Pelodiscus sinensis: one gene and its partner. The protein of the gene in region 2 interacts with the protein of the main gene of each other region in a biochemical or structural test. Links are inferred from orthologs where the notes say so. Each region holds a gene or a part of one and is shown on either strand. Other genes may lie near its edges. The genes, in order: TOLLIP and TOM1.

Region 1 (9,065 bases), on a different chromosome or scaffold from region 2:
CCCCATCCCTCCCCCCCCCACACACACAGCTACCTCTGTTTCAGCTAGCTCCCTGCAAGCATCAGCTCCAGCCTGCCCCCCATGTGTAAACATGGAACTGCTGAAAAAAAGTCAGCAATTACAGATTTACAAAAACAAATGTTTGCGAGCATCCCTACTTGATACTCTGGAAAGGCACTAGCTATCTCTAGAATACCCAAGAACCCCTTTGTTAATACAGAATTAAGGTTGAGTGAGGGTTTTTTTTTGGGGTGGGGCAAGGGGGAGAATACGAGGGTTGCTATTTAGTTAGTATTATAGGGCATGGCTTTTTACATCATGAAAAATCCAATTTACCTATTGCTTCTCCACTACTTACCGCTCTTCACAATCCTCAGTTTAACTATTCCTATGAGGAAACAGCATTTTGGAGAACTGACATCTTAAAATTTCTGGCTTTTGCCAACTTGGGTCAATAGAAAAGGTCAAGCACTATCAGCATAAATTCAAGCTCTGGACACAAGTGCTTTCAATAAAAAATTCTATCAATAAAAAATTCTATAAAGGCACTAGTTAAAATGTATTATTTTACTTCTGCTGAATTAATTATATGGACAGCTAGATCAGAGACCAACTAGATTCTGTAATGCTTACTTACAAATACAGAAATGACTGCCTTGATCAAGTCTGATAGGAGTCAGGATCTCACTCAAAACAATCTTTGTAGCTATTTACAAATAGACATATGAGTCTCACAACATCCAGATCAAGGCCATCGTATCTATGAAACGAGCGTGAAGAACAACTACAGCTTTTGGAGAATAAAAAAAACCATCACTGACGTTTTGAATAAGATCAAAACTAATGTTCCATTACGATGATTGATATAAAATGTGTATTTTTAGAGATTTAAGCTCTGGGCTCCGTGACATCTGGGCTCTACTGCTCAGCTACAGGTTGGACCTCCCTGGTCTGGCACCCTCACGACCTGTCCAGTCCTTGAGGGATTTTGCTGGACTAGAAGAGGTCATTTGTGGACCCCCTGCTGCTGCCAGCTCCTCACCTCCTGCTGGCCCAAATGCCCTGCGGACCCTGCTGGGCAGCCATCACTTCGGTGGCTTTGGGCCACATCTCACATGCCAACCTTGGACTCCAGATCCCGACAGGCAACTGCACATGCTGAGCTGGGGCTCCAGGTCCCGCAGGCAGCCATGCACACTGCACTGGGGCTCTGAGACCCGCCAGATAGCTGCATGCCATGGATCCCTGCCCCACCAAGCTACCACAGCTCCCAACCCCACCAGACAGATACACGCATGTCTCCCCAATCCCGCTGGCCAGACCTGCTGCCACGCGCTGATAGCAGGCTTGTTGTGGGCACCCCAACTGCTCTGTCGGCCCTGCAGGGATCCTTGTCACTGGCCCTCCACTGGGACGCTCTGCTCCTGCAGCATCCATGCTGCAGCATGAATGTTCCCATCCCAGTTAAAAGAGTTCCAACCTGTACAGATTTACTGAGTAACTCATTAATAAGATAGTGAACCTCTGTGTCTTACTTTCCTTTAGTGAAAAATGTTGATTTAGGACTAGGCTTCTAATTCACATTGAGATTTGCTTTAAAAGTATGTGTCTGTGAGAGAGGAGAGGAGGAAATGCTTCTCAGAATTTCAGTACTGATTGCACTGAGAAGTTTTGAATTCTTCCACATCATCCCATGCATCATTAAACCTTCCTTTCTTCCAAAGTTTTTTGCGTAGATCCAAAAGTCTTGTCTGCTAACAGAAAGCCTTTGAGTCAATCAGGGTAACTTTCTGAAAACATATTTCTTCAGTAAATGAGCACTAAGTAGCTCTATCTACATTAGTTTGCACATTTTCTGACAGCAGTATTCCCACAGAGACCACCACTATATCACAACTACGATGAAGTTGTAAATGTTTGCCTTAACTGCTGAAAAATATTAAGTGCATAGAGGCATTATAAGCATCCACTTCTTTCCAATCAGAAATTCTGAACCAAAATGTATTGCAGAACCCAAACTTTATCCTTGACCAAGCAGCAGCAGGATAGCTAGATGATATTTACCATCACTGGACACTGGCATTTCAGGTCTAAGTGCATCCCTCTGCAACACAGTTAAATTAGGATTCCTCATACATTCTTTCCATTAAGAACATGAGAGAACAGTAAGTCAAAAGTTAATTTATATCCAGAAAAAGCAGCACATCTTTAGTAAAAGAGCTCTGAGTGATAAAACAGTCAGGAGCTCCAACTTAATGATGAGATACTGTGTCACCAACAAACATAAAATGGACTGCAAAAGGAGCATTTTAAGGAATCATTAATTTTGTATTCTCGCAGATATAATTTGAAATCCAACCAACAGATTTTTTTAATGGCACCTCTCATATCCACCACACTTGTTAAAGATACAAGATACTGATCATATAATAACTACAAAGAAAAATACAGCTGCCACTAAAATTCATCCATAGCTCACATATTAGAATTTATATTGTTGTGAAAGGAAGATTATTAGTCAAGACACCAGACTATCAAGAGCTTCAGGAATATTCCACTTAAGCATTTGCTACTGATAGTCAAAAGGAACTTCAGTTTTCATCATCCGATAAACTAAATGACAAGCTTTGTATCTTATTAAATATGTATAAATGAGCTACAAATTGGGAAGCATGTACATAAGATTGAATATGCTGACTGCTGACACCAATGCTATTGTGTGCTGCCAGGTACCCACACTTGAAAAATCTTGGAACTATTCCTGCTTGGATAAACTACCATCAACACAAAGGTCACATTCTCTAGTCTACAGAATAGGGTTGAAGGAACCTAATATTTAGTGCTTTAGCACCCTTTAGTGGTTATTTACTTGTACTACAGTTTGGGAAGAAGTCGCCCTTCAAACTATAGGGAGAGAAATATAGAAATTGTGTCTTATCTTTTGTTATGGAAAGAGGAACAGAAAGGGGAATTATGTATTCCAGACACAGAGCAGTTTTAGGAATCAACAGAAGTCTATTAATCACTTCTCTCAAGAGTGATAGAAATGTAGCCGTGTTAGTCTGGGGTAGCTGAAGCAAAATGCAGGACAATGTAGCACTTTAAAGACTAACAAGATGGTTTAGTAGGTGATGAGCTTTCACGGGCCAGACCCACTTCCTCAGATCAAATAGTGGAAGAAAATAGTCACAACCATATATACCAAAGGATACAATTAAAAAAAAAGTGAACACATATGAAAAGGACAAATCACATTTCAGAACAGGAGGGGGATGCAAGGGGGGGGGAAGGAAGGTAAGTGTCTGTGAATTGATGAAATTAGAGGTGGGGAGAGTGGGATGTCTGTGAGCTAATGGTATTAGAGGTGATAATTGGGGAAGCTATCTTGGTAATGGGTAAGATAGTTTGAGTGTTTGTTCATTCCTTCCCGGAGAGTGTCACTCAAACTATCTTACCCATTACCAAGATAGAGGTGATAATTGGGGAAGCTATCTAGCCCCCTCCCGTCCACACACACACACACACACCCCCCTCCACCACAGATGTCCCCACGACAGAACAGAGACAGACAGCTGCCCCCTAACGTCTCATTTCCTTCCCAGCAGCAGGCAGCCGTTTGGGAGCAGGGAGGGCGCCGCACGCCGCTTTGCGCTCCCCCCGGGTCCCCTTTTCGCCTCCTCTGCCTGATTAAGGGCTACGTTGGGGGAAGGGGCAGAGCCCCCCGGGGCCTCGTGGGGGGAGGGGACGATGGGCAGAGTCCCCTAAAGGCCCTTCTCCCGGTGGGAAGACGGGGCAGACCCCCCCCCACACACACACACGGGGGGGAGCTGCTGGCAGTGGGGGCCCCTTGGCCCGAACACTAGGGGCGAAGGGCGGGGGCCGCACAGCTCGGGGGGGGGGGAGCTATGGCGAGAGGGCAGCCGCTGGGGCCCACGGCCAATGGTGGGAAGGACGGAGACCGGGCCCGGAGGAGACCCCTTGTTTCCCACCCCGCGTGGCCCTGGGCAGCGATTACTTACCGAGCCCCGCTGGGTGCTGACAGTGGTCGCCATAGCGGGACCCCCTTTCTGCCCGAGCAGGCCGCCGCCAACCGACCCCCAGCCCCACCGCTCCGGCGTCAGCTGAGCACAAGCCTCGCCCCGCTTACTCGGCACTGCGCCTGCGCGGCGCAACGGCTTTTCCCCCCTCTAAACTCCGCCTCCACGCCCAAACCGCTAGATAGCCCATGCGCACGCGCCGCCCGGCGGGTTGCCACTGATCCCGCCTCCTTTGGGGGTAATGCGCGTGCGTAGCTCAGGTGGTTCCGGCCCCTGCCTTTGAGAAGGGTTGGGTGGGCGAGAGGAGCCTGCGGTTGGCGCATGCGCATGCGACATGGCTGGGACAAAGCGTTCGTGCGAAATGTCTCTCAAACGGCTCGACTACGCCTGTGCACCGGGGAGTGCCCTTTCCCTCCGCCTCGCTCTTCGCGGGCGACAGGCGCAGAGCCAGCCGGCACGGAGGAGACGCTGGGCCTGCAGGGGGCGCTGTGCCATTAGCTATGGGCGAGGGGACGGTGCAGCCGGGCTTCTGCTTGGGGATGTGGCATGGGGCTGGGCTGCAGCAGGGACTCTGGCCCTTGCTGCCAGGGACCGAGGTGCTAGGTCGCTCAGATGCGACGTCTGTTGAGATCTGGAGAGGGCTGTTCGTAGCACTAGTTATGGAGTGGCTACCGTGACACGTGTGCGCTGTGACGTGGGCATGGATGTGTGCACTGTCACGTGTGTGTCTGTGTGTGTGTGTGTGTGTGTACTGTGTGAGGAACGTGTGTGTGTTGTGACGTGGTAGACACGTGTGCTGTGTGTGTGTCCTCTGCAATTTTCACAGTCTCTTTTGCGGAAATAAATCTGCTCTTACTTACTTACCTCCCCCGAGAAGATAACAGCTGATGATTGTAATACTTTTTTTAAAAAATGAAACAACCATTTGCTTACATAGTCAGACTCCTTTCCACAACAACGCAACCCCGTTCTATAGGGAATTTTCTACACTTACGGTAATATATTAAGTCTTAACTCATGGTTTGTTAAATATAAGGATTGCTAAGTATTATTGGCATGAAATGTTTTTATTGCCAGCTATATTGGCTTGCTGAATACTTTATTGTGCTTTGTCTATGATTTGTACTTAGTTATTTTCTGCAAGGTTTTTTCAGTTTACTAGAAGGAAATACTGGTTTTCTGTTCTACATCTTAAACAGGACAATAAACCTAAATTAGAATTTTCTGTACATTTGACATTTCTTTAATCAGATACTGATGTGCAAGAAGTAGCATGTAGTAATACACCTGTAGGTTAACAGAAGTATTATTTGACTTTTTTGAAAGTTTTTTATTTAAAAAAAGATATACTGTAATTATATTTTTTCTGAAAAATTAAAATTGGGCAAATGTCCAGGTATTGGGCAAATGTCCAGGTGAGACTTATAAATGGGCACATACTATCCCACAAAGTTCTTTTGTCACAGTGGTATAAAATAAATTCATCTTACAAGACTGCAAAAACAGGTTTTTAATTATGTAATATTTTCCCTATAACTTATTTTGGAACACGTCATGTGAAAAGACTAGAAGTAAAGAGCCCTCCCCATTTTGAAAAATATATTCTCATCATTGTTGTTAAACAATATATTTAATATCCACGTTATTTAAAAAAAACACATGAAACCCATCAGTACTTTAATTCAACCACAACCATTTGAAATATATGTGTTTTGACAGCTGTAACAATTCTAGATCTCATAATATTCTTGCCTATAGTGCAAGCTGTGAACAAAATATTGCATCTTTGGAGCACATGTTGATGGCCGAAAGAAAACGATCACCTAGTTTTCCACACACTAATAATACAGGATATCTGAAGTTTAGCAATGTTTTGTGCCTTCTAGCAACTCTCCAAGGTTCATCTGGAAATGTTCACTGATTAGCACTTTCCAGGCAAGGACTCCACTGTGAGAGACCACTGCACCCAGATGTCACTGCATTGCACCAAAAAGAGCCCAATACTAAAACAGCCACTGTCCCTACACCTACCAAAAACATCCATGCAAAATCACCCTTCAGTAAAATGGCCTCTATGCTGGTGTGATATTGCACCAACACTCTGCCATCACTCACCAAAAAGGCCACTGCTCACCTGCCAAAATGCTACTGTGTAAAGAAAACTTTCCTCCATCCCAAGATAGACCTACGCAGAGACATCAGACTCAACAGTCCCATATTGTGATTCCATCCTCCCCTGCCAAAATGACCATTGCCTTGTCCTAAGGCACCACCACACTGCACACAGACACTCACATGCCTTGCTAAATACATCACTGACTGCCTCATGTGAGACGACCTCATTCAGCACAATCCGCCACCCAGAAAGAGCCACCACACTGGAACACTACCTTTCTGTGGGTGGTGTCTTTGTTCCAGATCACCAAAATGTTCATTATGCCACACAGGGACACTGCCACTGAATGCTAAGACTCCACTGCCCACCCCAAGATGCCTCCATCTGAGATAGCTCCACCCTGCCCCAATACAGCCTCTTCCAAGATCCCTCTCACAGAGAGACACCAATGATCCCACACTAAGACACTACTTATTCAGAAACACCTGCCTTGCACTGAAACACAACCATCCTACTCCAAGGTAATATTATTGTGTATGTCATGACGACAAGGTGCTTGAACTCATTGGAATACGGCATGGCCATGTGTGGGTAAAACATTACCTCCATCTGCTTGCACTGAAGTAGTATTAGGAGAGGGTGACAGCGTGACACTAAAACATCATCACTATCCCTCTGCATTAAAACAACACATCAATTTGACCACAAAACATCTAGGGATGTCAATGTGTAGCTGACTACATGATTAACTGATAAGCCTGGGTTTATTGGTTAATCCTATTGACTATACACATTCCTCCCCACCTTGCTGCCTCTGATATAGCGGCAGCAAGGTGGGGAGGTGGGAGTTGGTGCCCATGGGAAGCTGGCTTTTAAGCTAGCTCCCCACAAACAGAGTCGCCTGTTCCCGCCCTCCCTTCCCCCCTCCACGCTGCTGGCTCTGATAGAGGGTAAGTGGGAGGAGGGACAGGCAGGAGCTGGTACAAATGGGAAGCCGCTTTCAAGCTGACTGACATGTATCATCTCCCATAGAGCCACTTGCCCCTTCCCTCCCACCCTACTACCTCTTTATCAGAGGCACCAGCATAGGGTGAAGAGGGAGCAGAAGCAGGAGCACATACATGTGGGGAGTTGGCTTTTAAGCCAGCTCTCCACGTGTGCCAGCTCCACAGAGCCGCCTGCTTCTCCCTTGTGGTCTCTTGCACGGGCGGGGGTGGAGGTGGGGGGCAGGCAAGAGCCGGTGCTCAGGGGGAGCCATCTTAAAACCCGGCTTCTCATGTGCACCGCCGCCACCTTCCTCTTCCCTCGACACTGCTGCCTCTATCAAAGGCAGCAGTGCAGAGCGGGGAGGCTGCAGCAAAGTCCCTCACAGAGAGGAGCTACCGCTCTCCCATGCTGCTGTCTCTGATACAGAGGCAGCAGTGTGGGATAGCAGGGGGCTCCCCAGGAGTTGGGCCAGGAGCACACTGAGTGCTGGCTCCACATCCAGGGACTATCAAATAATTGTGTAACTGGTAAAATTTGATGCGGTTACACGATTATTCAGTTAACCAATAGCCAAAACCCCTGGAAACATTCCCATCGGAGTTTGCTGAAATGCTATGATGTGGCATGTCAATATAGCAGCTGAACACCATTGCCTTGAACCAAATATAATTGTGGGATAGTAGAACAAGGCAACAGTGTAACGTCGCTACAGCCTTGCACAGAAAAATCATTGTGATGCAGTGCAACAATATAGTACATCATCATCACATCGTGCAGAAACAGCATCATACAACGTGACACAAGGGTGATGGTGTGGGGATCACCATTACCATTCTCTTGTGCCAAAACCTCATGGTGATGCAGTGCTACAAAATGAAGGTGAAACATCTACATTGCATTACTTTAAAACCCCATCCATATGTAGCGTGGTGACGCGAGGGTAAAATGTGTCCCTTGCTCGATGAAGAAACATCATTACAACATAATGCAGTGATGGGATAATGAAACATCATCCTCACATTGCACTGAAATGTGGCTATTATGACGTGTTACGGTGGCACAACAATGAAACATTGCACTGAAATACCATGGTTACACAGCACAACTATCACCTTGCACCAAATGATCATGGCAATGCATCAGTGTGATAGGGCACTGAGAAATCTGTTCTACTGCACTGAAATAGCATTGCGGTGCCACAGCGGAGCAACGGGACGAGGAAATATCACCATCACTTTCCACTGAAACTTTGTGATGCACCACTGCATCAGGGCATTAAGATGTCTACAGCATATTACAATGTGGCACAAAATCATGGCAGCTAAACACTGCATTGAAACAGCATTGTAATGCAGCGAGGCTATGTAGTGGGGAAACATCATCATTGTCACCTTATGCTGAAATGTTATCACTGTGTTGAACACAGCAACCTGATACTATGCAGTGACATAGGCCAGGTCCACACTACGGGGGAAGGTTGGCTTAAAGTTCACAATTCCAGCTATGTAAAAAATGTGACTGGAGTTGATGTACCTTAAGCTGAGCTTCAGGGAGGTCAATAGGAAAAATATTTTCTTCCTCACGAAGAGTAGGAGTACCGGTGCCGACAGAGGCATCCTTGGTGTTCGATTTAGTGGGTCTTTACTAGACCCACTAAATCACACACCAAAAGATCGACCACCGCAGTGTTGATCTTCCCGCAAGTGAAGATGTGGGCATAGTAGTGGAATAGCCCTATCATACTGCAACAAAATGTCACCATAGTACCGCACAGAAATATGGCAGTGGTACATCACCTCCCAAGTTATGTTGTTAGCATTTCCACAGATTCTCTCTCCTCAAGAGAATGTTTTTTTCAAGGGTGATCTGGGGCAGCAGCTAGCGGTGGAAGTTCTGTCATCATATCCTGACTAAGCTTATGCTGA
Region 2 (9,413 bases):
TCAGGGTTCAAAAAAGAGCTAGATAGATTCATGGAGGTTAGGTCCATCAATGGCTATTAGCCAGGATGGGTAGGAATGGTATCCCTAGCCTCTGTTTCTCTGGAGGTGGGTGACAGGGGAGGATCACATGAAGATTACCTGTTGTGATCCCTCCTTCTGGGGCATCTGGTATTGGCCACTGTCGGCAGACAGGATACTGGGCTAGATGGACCTTTGGTCTGACTCAGTATGGCCATTCTTATGTTCACTGTGGCTGTGCAGTAAAAATCTTTTAGAAGCCAGGCAGGCTTACGTCAGGTTCCAGGAGCTATCCTGCTGTGACTCTGCAATAAAAGTATTTTAGGAGCTGGGCGGCCTATTCATCCAGCTCCTAAAAGATATGCACTGCAGAGCTGCAGCGGGGGTAGCTCCTGGACCTGGCACCAGCAGGGATTGAACCAGGCTGCCGGCTAGCTGTCTAAAAATTTACTGGTGGGGGTAGGGGAAGAAAGGGAAATGTGTGTAATTGAGAGCATCAGTGCTTTTTTTGTGAGCACTCACCACTTTCCTCCAGCACAGCCCCCTGCCGGCCCTGGGAGCACTTGTGCTGCGCTGGATGGAAGCCCACTCAGGACATGCAGCAATTAAAGGGCGGGTTTTTTTTTTTTGCTCAACAAAACCATCTGGCAACCCTAGTACCAGCATCATTTTTTTTTAACAAAAAAAGCACTGGATAGCATTAACCAATATGCCTTTGCTTATCGGTTAATAGTTTAATCGACTACACTATTACATCCCTAGTTGCCATCCCAAACAAGACAGGAAGTAGGGAAAGAAGTGAAAGCTGACAGCATCTAAGGGAGGGCAAGTCAAACCTGACTAAATGTAACATGCAGAATCCACTCACTTCAGGAATCAAGGGACACTTGTTCTAGGGGGATCCAGAAGAACGTTCTCCAGATAATAAATGACAACATGTGCGGTTACTGTCTGTTACAGATCACATGGTACTTTCCACCATAGTAGGAACAATCACCCCCCCCACATTGTACCACATACCATGGACCAGGCTGCTGGCCCCTACTCCAGAGCATGACACACTTTGACACTGTTCTATTTAGATAGTTTGCATAATGCTTTGAGCTTTTTGGAATGAATGACACCACACATAAACATGGGGCCAGCTTTTCAAGATGAAAAAAAATCAAGGCACCCTATTTTAGTGCTCGACATTAGCTAGCAACATGGGTGTGTGCATGTGTAAAGTCACTCCATTGCTTGTTCTCTCATCCTCTCTTCAGGAAGAGAAGTCTGTGCATGTGACAGATATTAGTCACATTGTTCAATACACAACTGGAAGACATTCAGCTACCACACTGCTGAGTGCACTATAAGAATTCAAATAAAATAAAATATCAGGGGGAAACCCATTGGACAATTTTGATGGGGGTCATAGAGAAGGGTTTTCAGAAGGGTTTTGCCTCTTCTCTTCAGCTAAGCAAACTCCCGCACCCTCTTCTCCAATGACAACCTGTAGTCCCAGCTGTGTGTGAGAGCAAGGGATAATTAGGGTGGAATGAATTAAAAGGCCCCAAGGTGAGAAGAATGTAGGTCTCTGACATAATAGAGACTTCGGTGGTGGCAGCCCCAGAGATTCTTGAGTTGAATTTGTGCTTAAATAGTCTGTCATTAATATCACAGTTTCAATTAGTGAGTGACTTCGTCAGGCTGTCAAAGAAAGTCTGCAGAAGATTACAGTCTGAGACGCAACATTGTGGAACTGATAGGTAAACAAGCAAAGGACCAGAAACCAAGGACAGACTTACTCCCCCGCCCAGAGATACAAGGTTTCCCTGAAAAAGTAAAAAATATTACACCATACAAGCAGATAAAGTCTTTATAAAAATCATTCTACATTAAAACTTTGTTAAATACTTTTAAAAACGTATTTTTCCCTTCCAGCTTTGTTTCTCCAGTCCTTCTTTGTACTTTCTCTCAATTTTCCAATTTCTTGTTGTTTTAGTTTATTGTATATTAGTTTCCTCCCTTTCTTTAGTTAAACTCAACCAAAAGACTAAGAAGAATGCTGTTCTTTCTAGATTTGCAAGGTCTTATACTGGATCAGATCCTATTTATCTGGAAGTTCTTAGATGCATTTATGCCTTTGATATCTTGCCTTCCTAAAAACTTGATAGGGCAGGGAATAATTCATCTATTCATAAAGCACTGGGGTAAAACCATGGTGCTATAGAAAAGGCCCCAATCTTTCAAAAACTCTGGCTAATAATTAATTCAATTAGTGGAAATCAATATATTGCTGAAACATAACGGCTGTGTCTAGACTGGAAAGATTTTCCACAAAAGCAGCTGCTTTTGCGGAAAAACTTGCCAGCTGTCTACACTGGCCGCTTGAATTTCCACAAGAACACTGATGATCTCATGTAAGATTGTCAGTGTTCTTGCGGAAATGCTATGCTGCTCCCGTTCAGGCAAAAGCCCTCTTGCGCAAATGGCGATTGGGGCTTTCTTGCAAAAAAGTGCTTTTGCGGAAAAGCATCCGTGCCAATCTAGACGCTCTTTTCCGCAAATGCTTTTAACAGAAAAACTTTTCTGTTAAAAGCATTTGCGGAAAATCATTCCAGTCTAGACGTAGCCAACATGTTTACACTGAATAAGCCCATTCTTCAGATGAGGAAGATGCCCTAATTAAAAGAGTTCAGTTAAACAGATTAGAAAATGCAAACAAAACCTCCCTGTTAAAAATTCCAGATTTTTGCCAAAGCTTTCCATGGATTTCTAACAATGCTGATCACGGGTCTTGGGGCCGGGGAGAGAGGGAGGGAGAAGACTAACTCCACAAGGAGATGGAGGGTGCAAGGAGCTCAGTAAGAATTAGCCTGAACAGTGAGGCCAGGTACATGTGGTTATTAGTGTCATAAACTTAGCGAAGCATGTACAACCCTTGCCCTGAAGAGCTAACTGTGAAGCCAGAATAAGTACGTGTTCTTCCCCTCCAAACTAGCAGGGACACCACCCAGGTCATTGCACTGATGGGGATGGGTGGCTCCAAGGGCAGGGAGCAGATTACAGTTCCCCTGGTACCTGCTCTCCTCCCTACAACTGACACCCACAGGCTGTTCCCCAAGAACCCTTCTGCTGCTGCTACAGCCACCTCTACTTGACGTGGGAGCACAGGCAACACTCAGTTAGTTGCCTGTAGTCCCTGCTAGGGTGCCCATTGTAGTTGGACATATTCCTGGAGGTTCCATCACATGACAAGTAACATCTGTGACTGCACAGTACTAGGCTTCAGCTGCTGCAGACTCTCGGGCGCTCCGGGGGAGCTGGCAACCCTAGTCCGGGTTGTTATTGTAGGGTCGCCAGGGTCAGGGGGAGGCCTCGCGGTGCTGTGACGCGGCACATCCATCCGCAGCCCCCGCCGCCTCGCACAGGGCTCGGCTCTGGCCACCGGGCCCCTTTAAATAAGAAAACTTCCGAGACCCCCGTGCACGGGGATTGGCTGGCCCCATGGCCCCCCCGTGGCCCGCCTTCCCGCCTGCCCCCATTAGCCGCCGGCGCTCGTCAGTCAAATCAGTCTCGCCTCTCTATTGGCCGGAACTGTGTCAATCCTGCGAGGAGGCTGTGGGACCCGCCCAGCCGCGCGCGCCTACCCAGCTGCTGTCGCTGCTGCTCCCCAGAGGAGGGGGCTGACTTGGCGGGGGGAGGGGGCGAAGGGGGCAGAGGGACTCACCGATGCGCTGCCCCACAGGGGAGCTGAAGGGGTTGCCCAGGAGAAAGTCCATCGCCGCCGCCGCACGGCCCGGTATCAGCTGACACGGGCGCCCGTCACGTGACCCCCCCTCGGGCTCGGGACGGGGTGTGCCTGGCCGCCCCGCCTACGCGTGACGAAAGCAGGCGGCGTTCTGTCCTTCCAGGGCGTGCCCGGCGGAGAGCGCCGGTCTGCGGGAGGCGCGGAGGGAGGGGCGGGCCCGTAGCACAAGCGGACACTGTGACGTCACAAAGCTAGGCTCGTGACCTCACACTATGTCGTCACTGCAGAGGCAAATATGCTACAGGCTTACCAGGGGACTGTGAAATAAGCTCTTTACTCCTCGTCCCCTACCTACCCCCCCCCCCCCATCGACCTGGCCGCTCCTACCTGAGTTTTATCTGCTCCTACACGTGACCCTCCATCCCCCCCTTTTCCCTCACCCACAAAGACCTCATGGCCCTGTTCTCCCCCACCTCAAGGAGTAGATTAGGCATCATCTGACCCCACCTCCATGCTACATGTGGATTAGAGCACAGCAGAACTCTCCTACACAAGGGATATTCTTCCTCTCACCTGTTTTAGACTAGTAATAGAGATGTAGCCCTGCTAGTCTGCTGCAGGTGAAACAAAAAACAGGACTATGTAGCACTTTAAAGACTAACAAGATGGTTTATTAGGTGATGAGCTTTTGTGGGCCAGTCCCACTTCCTCAGATTTGATCTAATAAAGCATCTTGTTAGTCTATAAAGTGCTACGTAGTCCTGTTTTAGACTGTGGGTCTAAAGGCTTTCATTTTCCTGGTGAAGGCATAATATGGGGCAATAATGAACCCGGGGTCACCTCATCACATTACAATGCCCCCAAATAATTCAAGATCCAGTAAAAGACAAATAATTAGGTTTATTCAGTATAGAAAAGGGAAGACAAAGCGGGGACATGATAGCCGTTTTCAAGTATCTAAAAGGGTATTACAAGAAGGGAGAAAAATTATTCTCCTTAACCTTTGATTATAGGACAAGAAACTTAAATTGCAGCAAGGTTTAGGATGGACATTAGGAAAAACTTCCTGTCAGGATGAATAAGCACTTCCCCCAGTGCTGGTGCTGCCTCTGTGGGAGGCAGCTCTGAGGGAACCAGCACCAGTTCCCACCTCTCCTCACATTACCTCTGATACAGAGCAGCAAACTGGGGTTGTGCATGTAGTCATTTGGAGTAACCGGTAAATGCAGGCTTATCAGTTAATCATGTAAAAAAATGATAAACTAACATCTTATGTGACAGTAGGAGGAAAGGACAACCACCTGCAGCATGTATGTTTCTGCCTATATATGTTAAATAGCTCTCAAAGTAGAACATAAGGCAGTGGTTTTCGTGGAATCGTGAAATGTGTTTTGGTAGGTGGTTAAGTATTTTAAAATTTCTCTCTTGTCAACTTGTGTTGAAATATAAGGAGGGTTAGTGAAGTGTCATATTCTGCAATATCAAGGGTTGACAGGTTGACAAACTATCACAAGTTTTGAGGCTGAAACTGACCCATGAGTTTCTCAACTGAAAACAGAATTTTTAAAGACTATGACAATATGTACTATTCCTGTTTTTTCTGTAACAGGCAGTTTTACCATACTGATCCTGAACCACCAGTACTATTTTGCTTGCAACACAAATCCAGTTGCAGGGAGGATCCCAGGGGCAGAAATATGGCTCAACATTGGGACATTTGCAATGCTAGATGACAGCTCTCAGGCATGTCTCTCACTGATGCTGCTAAGAAATATGGAATAGGCCTCTAAATAATTATCAGTAATTTTCAAGAGATGTATCAAGCAGACTGTGATATTAGAATATACTGGTGTTGGAATATACTGCCTGAACAGGAGAAGCTAGAAGAACAGATGTGCTGTTTAGTAATACTGAACACTAATAACTAGCATTGGGGAGAAGATACAGAGCATGCTATAAATAATAATGACACATACTCCAAATGTTAAAAAATATTATATGTAAGTACAGTACAAAAAGGTTTCTTTATACAACTGTAATGCAATCTGGACCAAATGGCAAGAAAAATAACAAAAATATAAAAACTGCTAGGTCTCGGTCCAAAGTTTTCCTTCTAGTACCAAATACCACAAGATACAGATTATACAAATGTTTATAAATTTTAAATAAAAATACAATACATTAGGGTTTATGTGTGTGGTTGTTTTTTTAAAACTCTTCAAGAGTTTGTTATACAGATCAAAAATAATAGCTGATTGATCCCCTTCTGTTTCTTAGATAGAGATCTGAATATCTATCATTCACTACAGTACTGTCCACTGTGGAGAGTGAGAAACAGTCAGGTGTTTTATGCCATTTTCAAGACATGTGAGGGTCCAAAGGGCCCACCAAGATCCTTCTGTCCACCCTGCCTCCCTCAAATGCTGCTTAGGATTATATATAGTCACATATTTTTGAGATGTGTATGCCTAAGTCTGAGGCCTGGGCCCAGATCTTCTATATGCTCTATAAGAGCCTCTTGTTTCATCCACCAACCCAGCCCTGTTGACTAACCAATAAAATAGCATTGAATTACGAGACGAAGCAATGCAAAAACAGCATCTACCATGTATGTGCAGCTGGGGAAATACATAGTAGAGAGGATTGGGTGAAAGCTTCCCTCTTCACACCCGAGGATCTGCTTAACCACAAAAGATTTAGAGCTCAGCCATAAAGTGGTAATGCTCATTTCCAGCTGCCACTGAAAATAGAGAATCCAGAATTCAAAACAGAAGCAGAAGTGCTGTCCTTCTGCTATCTTAAAACCCCTAAGTTAAAAGGGAAGAGGAGGCCGGAGCCAAAATAAATGGGTCTCTAGTTCAGCTTTCACCCAACATCCCTGGGTTAAATTCTTTTCGAGAATTTAACCTGTTGTCACTAGTCCCTCTTGCAAAGTCTATGCCTGCAACAACTGAAACAGTTACCATTGGCAAGGTGGGGGATGAGCTGATTCATATTTTCCACACGCAATTTGTAGAGGGAAGGCTTTTTTGCTTTTAAATTATATATATATATAAATATATATGTATATACACATCCACACACACATATATACAGAAATATACATGATAAATTAAACTCTGTTACAGATACTGGTAAAACTTAAATATACCACGCACACACCTCTACGTGAGAATCAAATGCTTTCCTGTAGCTTTCATGGGATTTGTCCACTCAGTCCATGTTCAGCTCAGAAAGAACCTCTTCAACCTTTAACATTAAGCATTGTTTCAAGATAATACAGCAGCACCAGGAGGATTCCATAGCTCCTTCTTAACACTGCTGGTGAACAGGACGATGGGATCAACATTCATAGAAACAAAGTCCTCTCCATACAAAACATGTACAGATGGGCAGAGGCAGTGCAAGTTTCTTCCACCTATTTCCCTCTCTTCCCCATCAGGATGGCACAGCCTTGATCTGGAGGAATTAGAGGGTGGCTTGTTCCCCTTAGTCCATTCAATCTTTGGCTCTCTTCTGAGGCTGACAGCTAGTGTTAATGATGATGTGGGTGCAAGTCCTCTAGAAGAGTACAGATTCTTCACCATCTCCAGAACTATTTATTACAAGTTACCAACCAGTCAGCAGACAAACAAATTTCAATCACTAATGACTTTGGGGCTGTAAAAAATGACCTACAGGTCAAAGCCTCTATCTTCCATCAGCCAACCAGTCTTCCCCCAAAGCAGTACATTTCAACAGAAGTTAGAAACAGGGCTGGTGACAAGTCCAGAATAATTGCTTGATCCAAAATAAACAAGCATGTGTACTTGTCCACTGACAAACAGTCTGGGCTCAGGCCAATTCCCAAAAAAGGCTTTTTTGAATTTAAGGCTGATGTAATCAAAAGTGTTATGAACTCCAATTACTCAAAAACTTCAGACTGGAGAATATGTTGAGCAGGTCTCTCCCACCAACAGGAAAGGATTCTCTCAGCTTACACATCACAACTTTTCATAAAATTAATAAAAGTAAAATAGTTACAATCCTATGTATATACTATACAGATAGAAAAGTTTAAAACCCTACACATGGAGCCCTTGGAGAGTGCCAGTATAGTGCCTATGTACAGAAGTCTGTAACATGGAAGCAGGGTACATACGAGTATCCTTTCCTGTCAGAGTCCAGGCATGATGTAGGCGATGTTGTCTAGTGTGTTTGACTGGAAAGAGAACATTTAATATTTTTAAAGAGAACGGGTTACGATCCCAAATCCTACAGAAACAATGCTTTAGTGTAGCTGCCATGGGATGTGAAGATCCCCATCTTGTCATGTAATTTTCTACAGCATGGAATCAGCCCCATTTTTAGATGTTACCAGTACTGTCAGCTATCCTTTGGAGTTTTGGAAATACAAGGAGACCTAGTTGAAAGATGGTGCTCTCACTGGGGGCACCTGGATGCAAGGGAAAATCTCATATTGCTTTAAATGATTCCCCATCCCTTATGGCCAATGCTAGGAGCAGCATAGATGAATTAGGAAACAAACCAAAACGAGCCCATATCCACCAGACAGAAGATCAGCAAGGAAGGACCCAATCCAGGGTGATGGAAATAATAGGGGAATCCAGGAAAACACCCTGCCCACACAATCTCATGAGAAACTCTATAACTTTTAATGTAAAAGGATGAAAAATGAAAAAAATTTCAGAAGTAAGGTGGGAGGGAAAAATGTGTCTGGGCTCCTGGATTTCCTCTGCAAATGCTGCTGGGCAGCTTAAAGGACATTGCTGTGGTCCCCAGAATCTCAGCAAACATGTTGCAGCAACTCTATCTGTAGTGTCTATGACTGCAGCACACCACTAATCCCAGAGGTATGGCTGGCTACCCAAAGGAAGCCTCAGACTAGATCTGTGCAAATAACAGATTTTTCAGTTCTCTGGCAATTCCATGAAAAACAAAAATCGACAAGAAATTGCTTTGGGATGGATCCAAAACAGACTTTCAGAATTTTCAGCAAACCGAAAAAAATTTTTTTTGCAGTCAAACAAAACAGTTCATTCAATCAAAAAAAAATGTTTCATTTAATAATAGGGATGTAATAGTACAGTCGATTAACTGATAAGAAAAAGCTCATCAGTTAATGCTATAGACTACATGCATCCCGGCTCAGTCCTGCCTTGCACCGGATTCGGGACCTACCACCACTGCGGCTCTGCATTTAAAGTGTATTAGGAGTCAGGCAGGCAGGCAGCCTGGCTCAGTTCCATCTCACACCAGGTCCGGGATCTCAGACCACTCCCCGGACAGGGGCTGCTGCCATCCCACACTGTTGCCTCTGTATCAGAGGGAACAACATAGGGTGACAGGCAGCTAGTCTGTGAGGGGAGCCAGTTTTTAAACTGGCTCCTTTTGCAGACCAGCTCAAACCTGGAGCCTACAGTGTTGCCTCTGATTCAGAGGCAGCAGAGCAGAGTGGCAGGGGGCTCCTCAGGAGAGGGACCGGAGCACACTGGCTGCCAGCCCCACCCCGGGGGACTATAGAATAATTGAGTAACCAATGAGAATTCATAAGGTTAATCGACTATTCAATTAACCAATATTTAACATTCCTATTTCATAAGAAGAACATAAGAATGGCCATACTGGGTCAGACCAAAGGTCCATCTAGCCCAGTAAATCC

Evidence for each region.
Region 1: the proteins of TOM1 (region 2) and TOLLIP form a complex in vitro, tested with the Homo sapiens proteins (3 studies listed by BioGRID and IntAct, with this or other methods). The link is inferred for Pelodiscus sinensis from reciprocal best matches to the Homo sapiens genes TOM1 and TOLLIP.

What each region holds. Positions count from the first base shown.
Region 1 is NC_134714.1:117,913,376-117,922,440, reverse strand, and holds the start of TOLLIP (toll-interacting protein), read right to left. Parts: upstream 4,178-9,065; 5' UTR 4,053-4,177; coding exon 4,020-4,052; intron 1-4,019. UniProt on the Homo sapiens protein: Component of the signaling pathway of IL-1 and Toll-like receptors. Inhibits cell activation by microbial products. Recruits IRAK1 to the IL-1 receptor complex. Inhibits IRAK1 phosphorylation and kinase activity.
Region 2 is NC_134711.1:94,113,562-94,122,974, forward strand, and holds the start of TOM1 (target of Myb1 membrane trafficking protein), read right to left. Parts: upstream 3,940-9,413; 5' UTR 3,783-3,939; coding exon 3,731-3,782; intron 1-3,730. Other genes in the region: HMGXB4 (HMG domain-containing protein 4), read right to left, coding at 7,908-7,952.